Stegostoma tigrinum: one gene and its partners. The protein of the gene in region 3 interacts with the protein of the main gene of each other region in a biochemical or structural test. Links are inferred from orthologs where the notes say so. Each region holds a gene or a part of one and is shown on either strand. Other genes may lie near its edges.

Region 1 (7,512 bases), on a different chromosome or scaffold from region 3:
TCTGCCTCCCCTCTCCCTCACTCTGTCACTTCCCTCTGTCTCCCCTCTCCCTCACTCTGACACTTCCCCCTGTCTCCCCTCTCCCTCACTCTGTCACTTCCCTCTGTCTCCCCTCTCCCTCACTCTGTCACTTCCCTCTGTCTCCCCTCTCCCTCACTCTGACACTTCCCTCTGTCTCCCCTCTCCCTCACTCTGTCACTTCCCTCTGTCTCCCCTCTCCCTCACTCTGACACTTCCCTCTGTCTCCCCTCTCCCTCACTCTGTCACTTCCCCCTGTCTCACCTCTCCCTCACTCTGTCACTTCCCTCTGTCTCCCCTCTCCCTCACTCTGTCACTTCCCCCTGTCTCCCCTCTCCCTCACTCTGTCACTTCCCTCTGTCTCCCCTCTCCCTCACTCTGACACTTCCCTCTGTCTCCCCTCTCCCTCACTCTGTCACTTCCCCCTGTCTCCCCTCTCCCTCACTCTGTCACTTCCCCCTGTCTCCCCTCTCCCTCACTCTGTCACTTCCCCCTGTCTCCCCTCTCCCTCACTCTGACACTTCCCTCTGTCTCCCCTCTCCCTCACTCTGTCACTTCCCCCGTCTCCCCTCTCCCTCACTCTGTCACTTCCCTCTGTCTCCCCTCTCCCTCACTCTGACACTTCCCTCTGAGTCCCCTCTCCCTCACTCTGTCACTTCCCTCTGTCTCCCCTCTCCCTCACTCTGACACTTCCCTGTCTCCCCTCTCCCTCACTCTGTCACTTCCCTCTGTCTCCCCTCTCCCTCACTCTGACACTTCCCTCTGTCACCCCTCTCCCTCACTCTGTCACTTCCGTCTGTCTCCCCTCTCCCTCACTCTGTCACTTCCCTCTGTCTCACCTCTCCCTCACTCTGTCACTTCCCTCTGTCTCCCCTCTCCCTCACTCTGACACTTCCCCCTGTCTCCCCTCTCCCTCACTCTGTCACTTCCCTCTGTCTCCCCTCTCCCTCACTCTGTCACTTCCCTCTGCCTCCCCTCTCCCTCACTCTGTCACTTCCCTCTGTCTCCCCTCTCCCTCACTCTGACACTTCCCCCTGTCTCCCCTCTCCCTCACTCTGTCACTTCCCTCTGTCTCCCCTCTCCCTCACTCTGTCACTTCCCTCTGTCTCCCCTCTCCCTCACTCTGACACTTCCCTCTGTCTCCCCTCTCCCTCACTCTGTCACTTCCCTCTGTCTCCCCTCTCCCTCATTCTGTCACTTCCCTCTGTCTCCCCTCTCCCTCACTCTGACACTTCCCTCTGTCTCCCCTCTCCCTCACTCTGTCACTTCCCCCTGTCTCACCTCTCCCTCACTCTGTCACTTCCCTCTGTCTCCCCTCTCCCTCACTCTGTCACTTCCCCCTGTCTCCCCTCTCCCTCACTCTGTCACTTCCCTCTGTCTCCCCTCTCCCTCACTCTGACACTTCCCTCTGTCTCCCCTCTCCCTCACTCTGTCACTTCCCCCTGTCTCCCCTCTCCCTCACTCTGTCACTTCCCCCTGTCTCCCCTCTCCCTCACTCTGACACTTCCCTCTGTCTCCCCTCTCCCTCACTCTGACACTTCCCTCTGTCTCCACTCTCCCTCACTCTGTCACTTCCCCCTGTCTCCCCTCTCCCTCACTCTGTCACTTCCCTCTGTCTCCCCTCTCCCTCACTCTGACACTTCCCTCTGTCTCCCCTCTCCCTCACTCTGTCACTTCCCTCTGTCTCCCCTCTCCCTCACTCTGACACTTCCCTCTGTCTCCCCTCTCCCTCACTCTGTCACTTCCCTCTGTCTCCCCTCTCCCTCACTCTGTCACTTCCCCCTGTCTCCCCTCTCCCTCACTCTGTCACTTCCCTGTCTCCCCTCTCCCTCACTCTGTCACTTCCCCCTGTCTCCCCTCTCCCTCACTCTGTCACTTCCCTCTGTCTCCCCTCTCCCTCACTCTGACACTTCCCTCTGTCTCCCCTCTCCCTCACTCTGTCACTTCCCCCTGTCTCCCCTCTCCCTCACTCTGTCACTTCCCCCTGTCTCCCCTCTCCCTCACTCTGACACTTCCCTCTGTCTCCTCTCTCCCTCACTCTGTCACTTCCCTCTGTCTCACCTCTCCCTCACTCTGTCACTTCCCTCTGTCTCCCCTCTCCCTCACTCTGACACTTCCCTCTGTCTCCCCTCTCCCTCACTCTGACACTTCCCCCTGTCTCCCCTCTCCCTCACTCTGTCACTTCCCCCTGTCTCCCCTCTCCCTCACTCTGACACTTCCCTCTGTCTCCCCTCTCCCTCACTCTGTCACTTCCCCCTGTCTCCCCTCTCCCTCACTCTGTCACTTCCCTCTGTCTCCCCTCTCCCTCACTCTGACACTTCCCTCTGTCTCCCCTCTCCCTCACTCTGTCACTTCCCTCTGTCTCCCCTCTCCCTCACTCTGACACTTCCCTCTGTCTCCCCTCTCCCTCACTGTCTCTACCTGGCTTGCTCTATCTCCAACCACATTTCTGGGTTTTCTCTCTCCATCTATGTCATCCATTCCCTCAGACTTCTCTCTCTCCCCGATTTCCTTTTGCTGCTCATAGAACATAGAACATTACAGAATAGCACAGGCCCTTCGGCCCTCGATGTTGTGCCGACCTGTCATACCGCTCATTTGAGTCAAAGTCTTTCCTTGTTTATCAGGCTGATTCTGAGCTCTTGGTTTTAATCTTCTTCAGACAATATTCCTCTTGTATTTGTCACTCCAACTTCAGCTGCTAGTCAAGCTGTCCCTTACCGTCCCCCTGTGTCTATTTATCTTGGTCCCTCTGTGTCTATTCTTCATGTATTGCCCGTCTCTGCGCGGCCTCTCTCTATTTCAATGTTTTATCAAGACCTCTTTCCTTTCATTCTTCCTTCCATCTTTCCTTTCATTCTTCCTTCCATCTTTCCTCTTTATGATCTATTGAACTTGCACGCTACCTTCTCTGAGTCGTCCAAACCCCGTTATGCTGCAGCTTTCCGTAGTTCTTGCCTGTTTAAATGATCATTATTCTCGTATTCTTCCTGTCAAAGTGCATTAACCCATAATTTCCCACATCACATTCCATCTACAAAGTTGCTCTGCCACTCAATGTCCTCTCAATACCTGAACTTTATCCCTAATCCTTCCATTTTGTCCAACTACTAGAAGACTATCTTCAGTCCGTGCTCACGAAACACCCGTCACCACTGGATCTTCTCTTACAAAGTATCCTTACGCGTGGAAGCTTATTCAATGACCTTTTTTGTTTGGAAATTCAAATATATTTTGGACACTGTTTCCCCTTTGTTGCACCTTACTTAAACAATTGATATCAGTGCCTATGCATAGAATCACAGATACCTAGGAGCGAATCTAATCAAGGTGCTCAGATGATTTATAGGTAAAATCACAGAGACCTGGGATTGAGATAGAGATTGTAATCTAATCGAGGGGTTCGGGGTGGTTTGTACAGAGAAGAAGATACCCCGGGAGGGAGTGCACTGCATTGAACCGTATGTTTATGAAGCTTGTAAAACCTGTATTTGGAATGCCATGGGAACCCAGTTTCAGGAGGTTTGGGGCTAGAAGGAAGATTTCTGAGGCTGGAAAAGGGCCGAATGCAGAATGGAAAGTTGATGCATTTGTTGCGGGGTTTTTGTTTGAGTGACTAAGGGATGGGTGTGCTGTTGTCCCGCCAGCTGTACATTGGCAGGCGCCTGGCCCATTCTTTCCTGACCTTCTCTGAACAAGTTTCCCAGCAGCTGAGCTGACTGAGAGAGGTGGACGGGATGTGTAGAACTCGGGGGAAGGGGGGGGGGGGCGCGTCCTGTCCATTCTCAGGGGAAATGATGGCAGGGGGAAGCGGATGGAGACTGCGACGGTCCTATTCCCTTAACCAGCTCGCCCTGCCTCTCTTTCCCCAGGGAAGCGGAATGTCCCTGGCCTCCTCCAGCTCCTCATCCCTGCAGTATCTTCAAGCGTCGCCGCCGCCTCCCCCCCCCCCCCCCCCCACACCCCACACCAACCTTGTTGCGACAGTTCGCCTCTCCCAGCTGCATTGCCCCGGGGTGGGGAGAGCTGGCCGTAGATTCGCTCTCTGCCATTCCAGAACGACATGTTGGCCAGCTTTTTCTCTCTCTCATGCAAACACACACACACACACACACACACACACACACAGGCTGCAAAAGAGCAGCGCTCGGTGCTCAGAGAACTGGGACCTTAGCTGGGGCACAGTGTGGACGGCAGCGCGGATATATGCCAGTCCCTAGAGCCTGTGGCACCAGCTTCCTGACTGCCTGCGTTGTCAGCTACAACAGCACAGTGTTCCCCCCCCACCCCACCTCCTGTGCAGGGCAGGGCTTGGGACGGCGACCTGATGCCTGCCTCCCAGCCACCTTCTATAAGAAGCTCCATCTCCCTCCGTCCTTCCCACCCTCCCATTTGTCCTCGATTTCCAAAACTCAAAACTGGTGGAGGTCGTGGATTTGTCAGAGGCACGCACTCACAGACAGACACACACACGCAAAAGACAGAGCATGGCTTCATTGAGACGTGCTTTCACGTCGTTTCTCATCCAGGACATCTTGTCGCTTCAGGAAACTTCACCAGGCAGCTTTCCCAGGGGATTCCGTGGGAGCAGGGAGGAGGCAGGACAGCCCAACGCGGAGCCCCGCTCCCACAGCGGCCTGGAGCTGGCATTCACAGGTCAGGCTCTGGGGAGCTCAGGTAGGTTGGGGTGGGGGTGGGGGGGGGGGGGTGGGGGGTGCGGCTAGGGACCCCCCTCAGGCTCAGACCTCAGGTCACACCGCTCCATCGCCGCTGGACCGAGTCAGTGCAAGGCGAATTCAGGATATCTATCCAAATTCAGTTCACATTGGACCCCAGCTCTAAGTCAATCACGTCCCTACCGTGGGGAGACTGAACCTAGCCTCTGTGTCTGTGTGTCAGGGGTTTCTTCTGTTTCTTTCACACCTCCAAAATTTGTCCCGGGCCCTCTGTTAAAATGCTGTGGTTTTGAGTCAATGGGCTGGGTCAGGCACGGACTGGGGCCTGAGGGACGGGCGGGAGGGTGGGGAAGAGGATGCAATCTCAGAGTAACGGATCACTCACTCGACAAAAAGCAGGAACCTTTTTTTGCTTTCTCTCTGTCGTGAAGTGAAACTGACCACATGAGCGCTGCATGGGATGTATTGTTCAGTATGATCATGTCTGAGAGAAACAGGTTTTTAATCAGCAAGGCTGATAAGGATGTTGCCAGGGTTGGAGGGTTTGAGCTACAGGGAGGGGCTGGATAGTCTGGGGCTATTTTCCCTGGAGGATTGGAGGCTGAGGGGGTGACCTTATAGACGTTTATAAAATCATGAGGGTCACGGTTAGGGTGAATATCTAAGGCCTTCTTCCCTTGGAGGGGTAGTCCAAAACTCGACTGCACAGATTTTCTGGTGAAGAGGGGAAGGATTTAACAGGGATGTGAGCGGCAATTTTTCCACACAGAGGGTGGTGCGTGTATGGAATGAGCTGCCAGAGGAAGTGGTCGAGGCTGGTACAGTTACAGCATTTAAAAGGCATTTGGGCACGAATGGGAAGGGTTCAGAGGGAGATGTGCCAAATGCAGGGAAATGGGAAATACTTTAGCTTGGGAAACGTGGTCAATGTGGATAAGATGTTTGTTTCCGAGCTGTGTGACTCCAGGACTCTCAGACCAGGTCAGACGGAACATGGGAGAACAGAGGTAGCTTTGAGGGAAAGATCTTAGATTCTGAGAGCCTCACCCGAACCATAATCCCAACCCAAACCGTTACCCCCACCCTGTGGCTGAGGATGGTGTGTTTGCTCTCAGACGAGGGAGTCACTGCCTGAAAACAAGGGCTGAGCCATTCAGAACAGCCAGGAGATACAGAGTGTTTTGTTCTCATCTCCAGGAGGCTGCTTAGCTCTCTCTGGGAAAAGGCTCCACAGGTGGAGGCTCTGCCGATGATGGAGACAGAGATGCCGAGGTTCTGGTGGTACAAGGGGCAGCCGGGAAGATCTGACTGACTGGTCGAGCAGGCTGCTGGGGGGAACAGGTGATTGTGACCACGACCCCAAGCACAGGGTAGGCCCAGCCTGCTACTGATGTTTGCTGACTCCTCAGCCCAGAGCTATCATGGACTAGACTGGCAGAAGGTTCTCCTTCTGGGCCATTTATTCAATGGGTTGAGAAATCATTGGGAATATTGCCATAGAAATGCTGAGATTTGCAGCGTGTTCTGCGATAGGGTGAAGTTCCAGATCCGGAGCATTGTGGGGTCCCTCAAACTGGGGCCATCATTGTCCCCCTCTCAGAGTACACCCAGCCTCTCTCGCTGTTAGACGAGTGCATTCCTGCGGGTCTCCAAGAATCAGCACCAAGCCTGCAGTGCTGCAAGCCCACACCACACAGTTCTGACTGACTGCAACCCAACAGTGGAACACGAACCTGGAATTTGGATGGCAGCACATGGACCTTGTGATGGGACTGGACCCAGAATGTTCACAATGTATGTGACTGACCAATGAGAGAATCATCAAGGGACAGGAGTGACACAAGGAGGGGGGACTGGAGCTGCGAGGGATAATATAGAACTGATATAGATGGGGAAGTGAAGGAGTGAGATGCTGGCATGTGCCAGTGGGCGAGCGTGAGGAGCAGACATATGCCAGTGGGTGAGTGTGAGGAGCTGGCATGTGCCAGTGGGTGAACGTGAGGAGCTAGCACGTGCCAGTGGGCGAGCGAGAGTTGGAGATGGCATGTGGCAATGGGAGAGCGACTGGAGATGGCCTCTGTCAATGGGAGAGTGAGTGGTGGAGATGGCGTGTGACAATGGGAGAGCGAGCGGAGATAGTGTGTGTCAATGGTAGAGCAAATGGAGATGGTGTGTGTCAATGGGAGAGTGAGTGGTGGAGATGGCGTGTGACAATGGGAGAGCGAGCGGAGATAGTGTGTGTCAATGGTAGAGCAAGTGGAGATGGTGTGTGTCAATGGGAGAGCGTGTGGAGATGGCGTGTGTCAATGGCAGAGCGTGTGGAGATGGTGTGTGTCAACTGGAGAGCGACAGGTGGAGGTGGCATGTGTCAATGGGAGAGTGTGTGGAGATGGCGTGTATGAATGGGAGAGCGAGTGGAGATGGTATGTGTCAATGGGAGAGCGTGTGGAGATGGCGTGTATGAATTGGAGAGCGAGTGGAGATGGTGTGTGTCATTGGGAGAGTGAGTGGAGATGGAGTGTGTCAATGGGAGAGCATGTGGAGATGGACTGTGTCAATGGGAGAGCAAGTGATGGAGATGGTGTGTGTCAATGGGACAGCGTGGAGATGGTGAGTGTCAATGGGAGAACGTGTGGAGATGGACTGTGTCAATGGGAGAGCAAGTGATGGAGATGGTGTGTGTCAATGGGACAGCGTGGAGATGGTGAGTGTCAATGGGAGAGCGAGTGGAGACGGAATGTGTCAATGGGAGAGCGAGTGGAGATGGTGTGTGTCAATGGGAGAGTGAGTGGAGATGGCATGTGTCAATGGGAGAGCG
Region 2 (7,199 bases), on a different chromosome or scaffold from region 3:
AAGTTTCTGGTTGGTAGTGTTATCAGTGAAAGACTTGAAAAACATTTACTTAATGTGAAATTATCTTTTGATGGGTAACATTTCCCTTCTGAACACAGTGCCTGCATTTAAAAAGCAAGGACATCTGTCTCTCCATTTTTTTCAGGATTCTAATTCAATCAATGGGTGTACCGACATAATCCTTCTTGAAAACAAAATCTTGATGCACAAAAGTATCTCGTCCTGCTATAGTGCAGGAAAGAACTGGCCAAAACAGAAACAGAGATCCACTGATATACAGTGCAGTCACAATATCAATAAAAGGGATCAGCACTCACTCCATTTGTATATGGAAGACTGAAGTCATCTTGTCACCAGAACTTTCCAACAAGCACCAAGACCTAGCCTGGCTAGCAATGAAAAGGGTATCAGCTGTCAGATCCTTCATGCATAGCCAGTCTCCGGCCACAACCGCATGCTGCTGTGGTGGCTATCACACATCTCTTTCTGGAATGTGCCTTTGCAATTAAGGTCAGGAGAGAGATGCAGTGGTTTTTGTCAAGTTTCATCCTGGGCAGCTCTGTGACACAGGCCTCTGTGATCTATAGGCTAGTCTCTAAGTCACACACCAAAACAAACAGTGACTGCACTTGGAGGGCCATGGACTCAATGACAGACACTCTTTAGTCTGCCTGAAACTTGTTGGTCTTCCAGTGCAAACAGTTTACCTCGACTGAGCGCTGCAGACTGGAACATGCGAAGGTCCAGGCTCCATTCTGAGGAATGCACAACAGCTTGGGGCAGCTGCTGCCAAGGCACAGACTACAGTCTTACTTGGCAGTCCTTCTGCCAAAATATAATGAGGGGAGATATGTTACGTTTCAAGATAGCCTTGTAACCTTAATGAAAATGTAAATAGTTTCCTCTCACGATTATAAAATACCTTTTTGTTGCAACTGGATTGAAATTCTGGTGCATGTCAAAATTCTTGTTGTGCTTATTTAAAGATAATTTATGAATGAATATATTTTTGAAACAAATGCGTGGATGCTGATGTCTGTTAGTATTTTCTCATGCTTTAGAAGCTCTCATTGACAGGCACAGGTGTTGCATGCAGAATCCTAATGGTCTCGGGGTATTATTGCTAGACTATTAATCCAGAAACTCAATTAATGTTTTGGGGATCCAGGTTCATATCTGCTACAGCAGATGGTGGAATCTGAATTCAATGTCTGCCTACATGTGACTCCAGATCCACAGAAATGTGACTGACCCTGAAATGCCACTTTGAGATGGCCTAGCAAGTCACTCCAGGAATCAGCAATAAACACTGGCCAGCCAGTGATGCCTACAATTTGTAGAGCTACAAGGTGACAAGGCAGCAAAAATAAAACAATTCGAGGACAGAGACTTTTAAAACCAGAACCTGAGCCATAGCCAGTGATGCCTACGTCCCATGAATGAAATAAAAAGAGACCATAGTTCGAGATAACAAAGTGTGAAGCTGGATGAACACAGCAGACCAAGCAGCATCGCAGGAGCACAAAAGCTGACGTTTCGGGCCTAGACCCTTCATCTGATGAAGGGTCTAGGCCCGAGACATCAGCTTTTGTGCTCCTGAGACGCTGCTCGGCCTTCTGTGTTCATCCAGCTTCACACTGTTATCTTGGGCTCTCCAGCATGTGCAGTTCCCATTATCTCTGATCAGAGATTGTAGTTCACTTTATTCTGTCTCAAATGGAACCTCAAATTACGACAAGGTGGTACCACCTTTACATGCACCAGCGATCCTTGTAACATCTCAGTGAAATGCCAAATTAGAGAATGAGAGTTCACTATCCCAGAACTTTGCCCAGATGTATTTCATACAAGTTTTTCATGCTGTCAAAAGCAGATTTCAGAACCAAAAGAACGGTTTGTTCAGTGGTTACATCAGGCCATTTCTAATCTTTTATTGCAAACATCTGGTTATCTTTACATGGCTAAAAAGTGGATTTCTGCTTAAACAGAGAGAAAAGCTGGTGTAAAGTAACTGACACTTTTGTAGACGTTCTAATACAGGAATGGGCAGAATACTTTGCCCTCTGAGGCTGGTTTATCTGTCATCATGCGAAGGTACTGGTGTTGGACTGGGGTGGACAAAATCAGACATTACATGACACCAGGTTACTGTCCAACAGGCTTATTTGAAATCACAAGCTTTTGAAGTGTTACAGAGAAGAAGGGTCCTGACCCGAAACGTCAAACTTTCCTGCTCCTCTGATGCTGCTTGGCCTGCTGTATTCATCCAGCTTCACACCAAGTTATCTTTTTGACATGCTACTCCTTCATCAGGTGACTACGAAAGCACTTCAAAAGCTCGTGATTTCAAATAAATCTGTTGGACTATAACATGCTATCATGTGACTTCTGATATTTTCCCTCATCAGTAAGATGATGGCAGAACCCCAATCAGCCACACCTCAAACCCCTAACTCTTCCAGCAAAAATCTATAATGCTCACAGACTTATGTAAGGATTGTGCTTTGAAGGAGAGGATTCCACACTTCTACCACCTTTTGTGTGAAGAGTTGCTTCCTGAATTGTCTGGCTCTTTAATTTCATGATTGAGCTGGAACCTCCCTCCACGGAAGGAATACCAAGAATACCACCAAAACAATAAGAGAAACTGCTGGAAAAACTCAGCAGGTCTGGCAGCATCCGTGCAGAGAAATCAGGGTTAATGTTTTGAGTCCAGCGACCTTCCCTCAGAATTGATGCCACTGACTCAGGTTCTGGTTTAAAAGTCTCTGGCCTCGAATTGTTTTATTTTAGCTGCCTTGACATCTCGTAGCTCCACAAATTGTTCCACGGGGTGCTCACTGAGGTGACAGACCAGAATGCCTACGCCTGGCCCCAGTACCCAGGCAGTTTACCCCTCCCAGGATCTCTCTTACCTGCTGCAGCCGCTCACTGCCCGATCCTCCACACACTTCACTCGAATTATACAGTATTGTAACTGCAACTCTTTTCCTTTTCCTTAAATGCTATAGCATCCCGCGCCCCCCTTCTTCTCCTCTTCCTCCTGGATCCGACCGTGAACATTTGCTCGGATTATTCCCACTTAAAGCCCCCACCCACCCCACTCCCTACCCCTTAGGCTCAGTCTGGGGACAAGCCACTGCCTGTGAGGAGGTGACACCATCACACAAGCGCAGTAAGTGACGGCGTCGCACTGGCCGCCGGGACGCTGGAGGACTACCCGGCCCGAGACGTCAGAAGACCCACAACTGGCCTCCGCCTTCACATGCACCACCCACCGTCACGCTTTGGCCGCCGGGAAAGTGGAGGACCCACTCCGCGACCCTCGGAGGACCGGCTGAGAGAGCGGTGTGAAGTCGTTTCTGCCCGACGCAGCGATGCCGAAGAATTTTGGTTTCGCTGAATCAGGATATCTCAGCCACGGGGATTTACTGCACCAACCCAAAAAGTGGTAGAAGGCGGTGTGGTGCTATTTTAGATCACAAATTATAAAAAAAGGTGGAGAAGAAACCCATCATCTGTGGAGAGAGAGAGAGAATAGCAGGGTTAACGTATCGGGTTCGATCCGAGTCTTTCCCGGAGTGCTTTGCTTTGGTTTGCTTTTTAAATCTCCTTGGCCTTTTATTTTGATATTTGTGAGTGCAGCCTCCAGTGATCGGCTTTGTCGGGTTGCCATAGCCAAGGACCATGATCCGTGTGAGTAAGCGAACGCTGGACTGGATTTATTCCGTTGTGAGTATCATCTCTGGACAGCAGGGAGGGGGTTCTGGCCACATCAGAGCCCTGGAGATGAGCCTCTGATTGCTGAATGCACCAGGGGCAATTCTAGAGAGCTGGCACCTTCGCTGAGTGAACAGGGGCATTGGGTTAAAGTGAGTAAAGTCACCATAGTCCTGCGGGATTTTTCATTTTTTCATTAATTTCTCATTAGAGAGAGAGAGAGAGACGGCCGCTGGTAGCTTCAGCCGAGAGTCACTACACAGCTGGTGAGGAGAGAGACTTATCCTAGGATTCTCTGGGAAGCTGGGGAGGAGATTGCAGAGCCTTTTTGGCTTTGATCTTTAACTCGTCATTGTCTACAGGAATAGTGCCAGAAGACTGGAAGATAGCAAATGTCCCATTGTTCAAGAAGGGGAGTAGAGACAATCCTGGTGATTTTCGACCAGTGAGCCTTACTTTGGTTGTGGGTAAAGTGTTGGAAAGGATTATAAGAGATAGGATTTATATTCGTCTAGAAAGGAATAATTTGATTAGGGATAGTCAACATGGTTTTGTGAAGGGTAGGTCGTGCCTCACAAATCTTATTGAGTTCTTTGAGAAGGTGACGAAACAGGTGGATGAGGGTAAAGCGTTTGATGTGGTGTTTATGGATTTCAGTAAAGCATTTGATAAGGTTCCCCATGGTGGGCTATTGCAGAAATTACAGAAGCATGGAATTGAGGATGATTTAGCGGTTTGGATCAGAAATTGGCTAGCTGTAGGAAGACAGCGGGATGGTTGATGGGAAATGTCATCCTGGAGTTCAGTCACTAGTGGTGTACTGCAAGGATCTGTTTTGGGGCCACTGCTTTTTGTCATTTTTATAAATGACCTGGATGAGGGCATAGAGGATGGGTTAGTAAATTTGTGGATGACACTAAAGTCACTGGAGTTGTGGATAGTGTGGAAGGATGTTGCAGGTTACAGAGGGACATAGATAAGCTGCAGGGCTGGGCTGAGAGGTGGCAAATGGAGTTTAATGCGGAGAAGTGTGAGGTGATTCACTTTGGAAGGAGTAACAGGAATACAGAGTAGTGGGCTAATGGTAAGATTCTTGGTATGGGGATGAGCAGAGAGACCTCGGCGTCCATGTGCATAGATCCCCGAAGGTTGCCACCCAGGTTGATAGGGTTGTTAAGAAGGCATATGGTGTGTTATGTGTTATTGGCAGAGGGATTGAGTTTCATGAGCTGTACAAAACTCTGGTGCAGCCACATTTGGAATATTGCGTACAGTTCTGGTTGCCGCATTATAGGAAGGATGTGGAAACTTTGGAAAAGGTGCAGAGGAGATTTACCAGGCTTTTACCTGGTATGGAGAGAAGGTCTTATGAGGAAAGGTTGAGGGACTTGAGTCTGTTTTCGTTAGAGAGAAGAAGATTAAGAGGCGACTTAATAGAGGCATACCAGATGATCAGAGGATTAGATGGGGTGGACAGTGAGAGCCTTTTTCCTCGGATGGTGATGGCTAGCACGAGGGGACGTAGCTTTTAATTGAGGGGTGATAGAAATAGGACAGATGTCAGAGGTAGGTTCTTTACTCAGAGAGTAGTAAGGATGTGGAATGCCCTGCTTGCAACAGTAGTAGACTCGCCAACTTTTAAGGGTATTTAAATGGTCATTGGATAAACATATGGATGATAATGGAATAGTGTAGGTTAGGTGGGTTTCAGATTGGTTTCACAGGTCGGTGCAACATTGAGGGCCGAAGGCCCTGTACTGCACTGTTATGTTCTATGTTTTGTGGAGGGACCATTGAGTACAGGAGCAGCGATGCGTGGTACAGTTATACAGGGCCTTGATGAGAATATTGTGTTCAGTTTTGTCTACTTTTCTGAGGAAGGATGCTCTTACTTTCGAAGGAGTGCAGCATAGGTTTATCAGGCTGATTCCAGGGATGGCGGGTCTGACGTATGTGGAGAGATTGACTAGGTTGGGATAACAAAATGTAGAGCTGATGAACACAGCAGGTAAGGCAGCATCAGAGGAGCAGGAAAGCTGACGTTCCGGGTCTGGACCTTTCTTAAGAAGGGTTGGAGTGAGTTTTCACTAGGTTGGGATTGTTTTTGCTGGAGTTCGGATGAATGAGGGGGATCTCATAGAGACTATAAAGTTCTGAAACGACTGAAGAGGGTAGATGCAGGGAGGATGTTCCCGATGGTGGGTGTGCCCAGAACCAGGGGTCACAGTAAAAGGACTTGCAGTAGACTTCTTAGGACAGAGATGAAAAGATATTTCTCTACTCAACAAGTGGCGAACCTGAGGAATTCATTACCACAGGAAGCAGTTGATGTCAAACATTGAATGTATTCAAGAGGCAACTAGATGTCGCCCTTGGGGTGAACAGGATCAAAGGTTTTGGGGAGAAAGCAGGATTAGGCTATCGAGTTGGATGATCAACTATGATTGTGAAGAATGGTAGAGCAGGCTTGAAGGGTCAAATGGCCTCCTCCTGTTCCTATCTTCTATGTTTCTATGTTTCATCCTAACCTCAGATGGTGCAGGAATTGCAGCCATGCTGTTGGCATTACTTTGCATCGCAAATCGGTTAATTGAAACAGGAAGCACATTTTTTGCATCCATAGATGTGTATTCCTCTGCAAAACCTTGTATTAAAATTCAATTTGCCATTGTTTTGCCCTCTGTCTAACTCTTGGATTTTGATCATTTTGATTTGTAGTGAGCGTAAGAGTAGGAGCAGAGGTGGGCATTTCAGCCCAAAGAGCCTGCTATTGCCATTCAGTGAGATTATGGTTAATCCAATAATCTTCAACTCCACCCTCATGCCTTTTCCCCATAACCCTTGATTCCCTTATTGATTAAAAATCTATCTGTCTCAGCTTTGAACTTACATAAAAACCCAGTCTCTGCAGTAAATAGTTCCACAAGTTAACTGCCCTCTGAAAGCCAGAATTCCTCATCATCTTTGTAAAAAGTGATCCCCTATTCTGAGATTATCTTGTGGTTCGAGACACTCGCGCAAGGGGAAGCAACCTTTCCACATCTATCCTGTTAAATCTCCAAAGAGACTCGTATCTTTTCTAAAGGTGACCTCTTATTCTTCCAAACTCCAATGAACACAGGCCCAACCTCCTCAACCTGTCCTCACAAGTCTTCCCTCCATCACTGGTATCAGTTTGGTGAACCTTCTCTGGACTGCCTCTTATGCAAGTGTATTTTCTGTAGATAAGGGTCTCAAAACAGTTCACAATATTCCAGCTGTGGTCTGACTAGTGCCTTGCATAGTTTTAGCAAGACTTCATGGTTTTTATACTTCACTCCCTTTGAAATGAAGGCCAACATTCCATGTGCCTTCCCTAGTACCTGCTGAACTTATATGGTAGCTTTTTGAGTCTTTTGTGAGGTCTCCCAAATCCCTCTGAGTTGTCGTTTTCTCTAGTCTTTCTCCATTTAAGTAATTTTCAGTTCTCCTATTGTTCC
Region 3 (7,644 bases):
ATTTAATCTTAATAAGAAATTCGTCTTACAAGTCAAGGTGTAGTTTATTGCATGAGAGCAATAGGTTCCAAGTTATATTACGCTGTTAGGCATAATTACAAAAAGTATCAGGAGCCAGAGTTGACACACCTATCTCCATCGGGACCTCATTTCAGGCTTTTTGTCTCCACCTAAAGACTGCTTGACATCATTGGATTGGATGCTGCTTGCTGCAGCTTTAACATTAACTGCTTCAGAATCATCTTACATAACTGGATGTATTGGACAATATTCCACATTGCTGACTAAGTGCTGATGTTGTAGTTGTATTGGAACAGCTTGGTTAGGATTGTAACTAGTTTTGGGGCACAGGTCTTCAGCTCTAAAGGCAGGATTTTTTAAAAAATTCACAACCTTGCTGTGTCCAGTCTGTTCAGCTATTTCTTGATACCATGTGACATGATACAAATTGGCTGAAGGTTGACTTTTATGATCTTGGAAACCTCAAAAGGAATCCAACATAGTCAACCCATTAGCTCTTCTCACTGAAAATGGTTGCAAAATCCTCAGCCTTCTCTTTGAATCTGTGCTCCCCAATTATTAAGGACAGAGATATTTATGGAGACTTCTTCTCCAAGTAGTTGTTTAATTTCCTACCACCAATCTTAATTCGATTTGGCAGAATTGAAATGTTTTGATTTGGCCCATTGATTGGGGAATCATTTAGCCCAACCAATAGCATGTTGCTTTTGCTATTTTGATGCACGTTGCCCAATGCAGTACGTTTACAAGGTTCTATTTCCCAAGAACCTTACACAGGATTATATATGAACAGTAGCACAGAAAGAAGTGTCATGAGGCCTGAATTGAGTAAAAGAACTCATCGGCCAATAGCCAAGAATGTGCACACCCTGGAAAGTCCACCTTCATCGGATTTGGAACAGTTAAATTGCTTAGCAACATCCAAATCAGAACCAATCAAAATAAACGTCTGGTTAAGAAGTCAACCGGTTTTAATGGAGGTTCATATCGGTGCAGCTGTATCAGTGATTGCAGAACTAGTCTTTGACAAAATTTGCTCTGGACCCTTAAATTTGCATAAGATCTCGACTGGACTGAGAACCTACACCAGGGAATCTTTACATATTAAGGTACAATTTCAGTTCCAGTCCCATATGGGAAGCAACTAGCTCAGTTAACAATGATTATAGTAAAAGGCTCAGTCCGAAGCCTGATGGGGAGAAATTGGTTGAGGAAGATTCACCTTGGTTGGCTCAACATTTTTGGATTGGAAAATGGCTGCCTGATTGAAGCCCTAATTAAATACTTGGAAGTTTTTCAGGGACGTCCAGAGACTATCAAAGGAGTCAAGGCCACCTTATATTTTGACCAGGAAACAATTCCATGATTCTGCAGGCACACCCAATGCTAATTGTCTTACGGGCAAAAGTAGAGGCAGAAATCATGAGGCTGGAAAGTGAAGGAATCATCAAACCAGTACAGTTTGCAGAATGGGCAGCACCGGTAGTACCGATTATGAAGCCCAATGGATCAGTGCACCTTGTGGAGATTTTAAACAAACAGTAAACTGCTTCTTGCACTGAATTAATACCCAATCCGTCACATAGAGGACTTATATTCCAAACTGGCTGGAAGCTGTCCTTAACAAAGCTGGGCAAGAACTGTGCAAACTTACAATTGCGGTTAGATGAGAATTCCCAGACATATGCTACAATTAATACCCATAAGGGTTTGTACTGATATACAAGATTTGGCGTACCTTCAGCCTGCACTATTTTTCAGTAGAGAATGGAGAACATTTTACAAAGTCTACTCCAAGTCGCCAATTATCTGGATGATGTGCTAATAACTGGGAAGACCAATAAAGAGTACTTAAAAAGAATTTGGACATATTGCTACAAATTTCTCCCAGGTGCCCAAATGCCTTAGAAGGAAAAAATTTGTATTCTAGACACTCTAAGTGACCTATTTGGGCTACTGACAAAACCGGGTTACACCCTTGGTAGATACTACGAGGGTAATCAAAGGCGGTCCGGCTTGCACATCTGTACTGGAGCTTAGGTCCTTGCTTAGATCCATAAATTATTACATAGTTGGATGTTATGTTGAGGTTGTACAGAATGTTGGTGAGGCTTCTTCTTGAGTATTGTATCCAGTTCTGGTCACCCTGTTACAGGAAGGATATTATTAAATAGGGGGGGGTTAAGAAGAGATTTACCAGAATGTTACCGGGAATGGAAAGTTTGAGTTATGAGGGGAAGTTGGATAAGCTGGGGCTTTTTTCACTGGGATTTATGAGGTTGAAGTGCAACCTTATTGAGGTTCATAAAATTATGAGGGGTATAGATAAGTCGAATGGCAGGTGTCTTTTCACTAGGACGTGGGATCTCAAGACCAGGGGCCATAATTTTAAATTGAGGGAAGAAAAACTTAAAAAAAGACATGGGGGCATTTTTTTTTTACAGGAAGTACTTCATATGTCCAATGGGCTTCCAGAGGAAGTGGTGGACGCGAGTACAGTTACAAGGTTTAAAACACATTTTGGTAAGTATGTAATTAGGAAATGTTTGGAGGAATATGGGACAAGTGCAAGGAGGTGGAACTAGTTTAGTTTGGGATCATGGTTGGCATAGACTGGTCAGATTGAAGGATCTGTTTCCGTGTTGTATGACCCTATGACTATATAAGTACTTCCTAAAGTTGAATGGCATTCGGCATATAAGAGTAGCTCCATGCCAGCCATCATCCAATAGTCTGGCAGAAAGAGCAGTCTAAACTCTAATGGAAGACTTCAAGGAACAGCTTACATCTTCACTCGATACCAAAATGTTCTGGTTCCTACTTGATTATCAGACCACGTCCCTCATGCAACTACAGGGATAGGTCCAGCAGAGTTGCTAACAGGGAGGAAACTCCACACCGGGTTAAACCTGATATTCCAAGACTTGGGGCATGGCAGGGGTGGGGGAGAAATGGCTGGACACAAGACTCCCCTCGGTAAGAGACAGCTTACTTCAGGGGATAAAGTTCGATGTAAGATTCACAGAAATGACCCTGCATGGGTAAGAGGCATGGCCAATGCAAGGTCTGGTCCCGTGACACACAAAGTTCAAGTAGGTGAGGTGGTCCTGAACAAGCATGTGGTCATCAATAAAGCTACAAACGCACAAATAGGTCAGCAAAAAATAACCAGCACCTCAGAGTAGCCAGAAAGGCTGTCTGGACCTGTGGGCTCTCCGTCTAAATCTAGCCTTGAAGAAGTCTTGGAGTCTGAGACGGACATGGTGGACGTTGCAGCCTCGATGCCTTTACCACCTGACACCCTGGGTGCAATAGGCGAGCTATGACCTGGAGCACACTGCCCGTATCTGATGCTGAGTCAGAGGAACTGGACTCTGTAGGAAAACACCCCAGTGCAGGGTACAAGAAAAAGAGCCTGCCTCCTTTCCCGGATTTAGATTTGATGTAGGAGTTGGATGTTATATTGAAATTAGGTCAGCCAGGCGGACTTCCTAGAATATGAGTTCCCTATCTGGTGCTTTTAATCTGCTCCAGTCAGGGAGCCCTGGCTGACAGCTACAAACAGGAGCATCAGAGGTTCTGTTCACTCTGACAGCTGGTTCTGTGGAATCCGGACCAGTTTGAAATACCATGCATGTGTAAATAAAGAGCAACTTGGTGATGAGATACCGGCCTCTGTGGAGTTAATTCAGTCTGTTTGGCTGTCTAGGGCTGAAGGTCTAGAATTCTCTGGCAAATGGTGTCTGTCTCTTCCTCTCCTCTTGCAAGACATTCCTTAAAACCTTGGGATGTGGCTAAACTTTTGATCAGCTGTCCACATTAAGTGGGCATAGCGTCAAACTTGGTTTGCAAACATCGTTGTATAAGGCTCTGGAATGCTTTCCAAAGGTGCCACAGAAACTCAAGTCGCTGTTGTTTGGCTTGTGTCCATTCCTTCTGCATGATAACACCCCTGCAAAGTGCCTTTGGACTATTTACTAATTCAAAGGTGCCACATGAAATAAGTTGTTGCAAAAGCTTGGAGTAACTTAACCTGCTGCTCTGATCGTGAAGCCCTGACATCAGAAGAAACCACTGTGACATCATTTGGCTTGATGAGAGTTGTTGCTGTGCTAACTTTTCTATAGTTGATGGTCCACTGAGTTTTTGAAAGGGGTGGGGGGAAGGTGTGTCCTTTGGGTGAAGTCTGGGGTTGGATGTGGAACAGGAAGGGTGTGTGCGTATGTCTGTTCAGCTTCTGTTGAGAGGAATTGCCTTAACTTTCCAACAACTACAAAGCAAGAGTAAAGTTTATCCCCTCTCTTCCTGGGAGGAAGGAGTCTGATGCCCCCAGGGAGGGTGCTCAGGGGGCTGGTTGGATGGGTTGGGGAGAGTTTGGGCAAAGAGGGAGGCGTGTCTGTGCTATTTAAATCAGCTCTTTGGTGCAGCTGAAGCCACCAATTGTGAGGGCAAGGCAATTGAAATGTAAATTCGCCTCTAAGTTAAATCCAAGTGCATGCGCAGTACGTCGAAACTGGGACTTAGACGTTGTACAGGGGGTTGGAGCAGTTCAATCTGAGCAGGTCTTTGGTGTGTATAGAACTCAACTCCTCACTAACTCCACAAAAAAACCCTATAGAATAATCAGAAAAGAAACATCCTCCAACAATGAGCGTTGATCACCTCTCCCAGGTAGGTGGAACGACCTTCCAGACCGTGCGTTTTATAAAACCCCGTGTCTTTTATTTCCCCCCCCCCAAAAAAACATATATTTGATGACTTGAAACTTGTGAAAAAAATTCATCTGTCTCTCACTTTGATGGTTCGTGGCCCTTTTGATTGTAAGGAAGCAAAGTACTAACGTGGATTTTTCCCCTTTTTTTCTTGTGTTCACAGCTCAATACGGATTCCCGCTTGAACGGTGAGTATTTGAGGTGAAAATTGCTTTTATTTAATTTGTTCGTTACCCCCTCATTACCCCCCCCCTCCCTCGACCACCACCTCCCTCGACCTTTCCCTCTCCTCCTGTTTTCTCTCTGAGGGAAGAACAAGAGGATCAGACATGGCGTCCAGAGACTAAGTCCCGTCTACGTGCCCACAAGCCCTATTGTTCAAATCAGCCTCCAAAATAACCGCCTTGCCGGCTCCCCAGCGAGCCCTTTCCCCCGCCGACCGCCTCCACTACACCCAGAGTCTGGCGTGAGGCTGCCCGAGGGCTGTTGGGGGTTTCGGCCGGGCCGGCATCGCGAGCGAAAAGCCGGCTTTTCGGCCGTTAGGACTTAGTCTCTGCGCCATTTTATTTTTTCTGACTGTGTGTGTGTCAGTTGCTTCGTGCATGTTGTTAAGAGCGAGGCTCCCTTCTCTTTTTTTTTAAATATATAAAACACACCGACAGCAATGTGCCGGGCATTTAAATAAGAAGGCAGGAGGAACGAGGAAGAAAGGTTTAGAATTCTGAGAGGTGGGGGGTCTAGAAGACACACAAAAGGGATGGCGGCAGAAATTGCAACTTGTTTTTTTCAATGCAGTTTGCATTTTATGCCTTTTTTATATGGGGGGGGGGTGATGGAGCAGCAATGCCTCTACTCACATGGTGGCAGCACCGTGAAGGTTATGATGTATTTTTATATATTTTTTAAAAGCAGTATTTTGTAAGATTCCCTTTTTTTAAGTTTGCATTGCATGGTTTTTTTCCCCCCTCTCTTGCCTGCCCCTAGGTTTTTTAAAAAAAGACTTTCTCGATTTGCGTTGAATTTTTTTATCTAGTTTGAGGTTTTCGATACTTCTGGAAGCTTTTTTTTACTAAGGAAAATAGGGGTTATCTGCTTAACCTTTTGAAAAAGAATCGGTGCTGGGATAATGATTGTCATGTCTTCAAATAAGAGATTGTAAGCATTGTCATGATTGTTCTGTGCAGTGGTGACATTGTTTCAGAAAATTTTCCATACCCTTTTAAGTTGTTTCCTTTCCCCAAAAAAAGCACTAGTCTTTCCCAAAGTCTACTCAGACTTACAGGGCATTGCTGGGTTGGTTCATGGGGAGAGGGTATTTTTAAATAGCTTTGTGATCAATTATATTCCATCTTGCAGCTCATCTACAGATATGCAATCGAGATCCTTTCTGTGTGAGGCTTAAAATTATTGTACTAATGTGTGATGATTTAAGATATTGATCCAGTTAAAAGTTTTCAGTTTTGAAAGATTGCAGTTCTAATGAGATCAAGGATGATGCAGGATGCAAAAAAATGGAAACATATATGTAATTTGAAGGATCTTAACATTTGTTGAAATACCCTTTTTCAATATACTATTCTTTGGCATTCAGAATGATTTACAAAGTCAGTTGGACTTTGCATTATCATTTTGAAGCATAAAAGGATCTATGAAATGTGCATTGAAGTATGACATCTTCCCTTTTAAGATTCAAATTGCCCAATAGCAACTGTGTTTTAATTTTTCAGCATGTTGAAGCCATTCTGTTAAATGACAAGCTGCTGTGCTAGCACACATGATTGAATGCTTGAAGAAGGAAGTGAGGTTTTGGGGAGGTGCAGTAATAGAGAATTGAGTTTAGTTGAAGAAACTGAGTATTTAAAATGAATGGACAGTGGAATGCTGTTGGATTTTTCCTTGGCAAGTTATACTGCTGTAGGATATTGATAAAGAATAAAACTAGAACTCTTTCAGAAAGAAACATTTAAAGTTTGATTCTGCTCATTGAGGTGCTGTGTCTTGGTGATGAATTGGATTTTACTCCAGATTTCATTTGAAGAACAAGGTGTGATTTGAGAAGCTGCTTGTCTGAATGCAAATATCACTGAATTTGAATGGCTGTTACATAGGGTACCGGTTAAGATTGTTTGCAATTTTTCTTTTGTCAAAGCAGTAACTCATAATATGGCTCCATATTTCTGATGCTTTTTGGTATTTTATACAACTATTCAGCCAGGTACGTTGAGCAAGGCATGTTCATTCCTTCCTTGAAGGCAAATTTGGGCACATTAGGGAGATCAGAAGCAGGAACTCTGAACTCTCTTCCAAGCTGAGCACCTGCTGTGGGATGAATTTTGTCTGTTCTGTATCCATTCTGTCTTTACCATAACTAATGTGGTAGACTAATATTTCTGGCTTTCAGCTGAAATTCCTCTCATGTTTTCTTCACTGACCAGTGATCTGCAGTGACAAAATCATTGCAAAAGCTGAGGCCATGTGGTTCCTTTATCTGGTAACCTTCCAATCATTCTTCTGCATTCTTGATTTCTTTTTTCCTAGAGCCCACGTCACTGGTAGTATTCATGGTCAACAGGTGGAAAGCACAGAATTCTGCATAGTCTATTGCAACTAACTTTTCTCGGACTTGAAAGCCCTTAAAGTACAACTCTCCTTCCTTTGAGTTACAGTCTCATGTTAAGTTGTGATTTCATGGGTATTGGGGATTTACACTCCAGTGGCCACTCTTTGTAAATGAGCCTGGATTCATGGGTAGTGCACAGCAAAAACTGATCTGACTAGAATATCATCCCAATTGGAATCACTAGATAATCTGTGAAATCTATTCAAATTCAGCTTAGGGGCTGTTCCCGTTGTTGCCTCCTCTACATCGGGGAAACCAAGCGGAGGCTTGGGGACCACTTTGCAGAACACC

What was found.
Region 1: the proteins of top1a (region 3) and homeobox protein Nkx-3.1 form a complex in vitro, tested with the Homo sapiens proteins (2 studies listed by BioGRID and IntAct). The link is inferred for Stegostoma tigrinum from reciprocal best matches to the Homo sapiens genes TOP1 and NKX3-1.
Region 2: of the proteins of top1a (region 3) and E3 ubiquitin-protein ligase Topors-like, one has a biochemical effect on the other in vitro, tested with the Homo sapiens proteins (2 studies listed by BioGRID). The link is inferred for Stegostoma tigrinum from reciprocal best matches to the Homo sapiens genes TOP1 and TOPORS.

Annotation. Positions count from the first base shown.
Region 1 is NC_081393.1:5,424,696-5,432,207, forward strand, and holds the start of homeobox protein Nkx-3.1, read left to right. Parts: upstream 1-4,418; 5' UTR 4,419-4,505; coding exon 4,506-4,695; intron 4,696-7,512.
Region 2 is NC_081356.1:30,233,748-30,240,946, forward strand, and holds the start of E3 ubiquitin-protein ligase Topors-like, read right to left. Parts: upstream 3,077-7,199; 5' UTR 2,916-3,076; intron 1-2,915. UniProt on the Homo sapiens protein: Functions as an E3 ubiquitin-protein ligase and as an E3 SUMO1-protein ligase. Probable tumor suppressor involved in cell growth, cell proliferation and apoptosis that regulates p53/TP53 stability through ubiquitin-dependent degradation.
Region 3 is NC_081372.1:14,189,859-14,197,502, reverse strand, and holds the start of top1a (DNA topoisomerase I, like), read left to right. Parts: upstream 1-4,542; 5' UTR 4,543-4,668; coding exon 4,669-4,692; intron 4,693-4,896; coding exon 4,897-4,921; intron 4,922-7,644. UniProt on the Homo sapiens protein: Releases the supercoiling and torsional tension of DNA introduced during the DNA replication and transcription by transiently cleaving and rejoining one strand of the DNA duplex.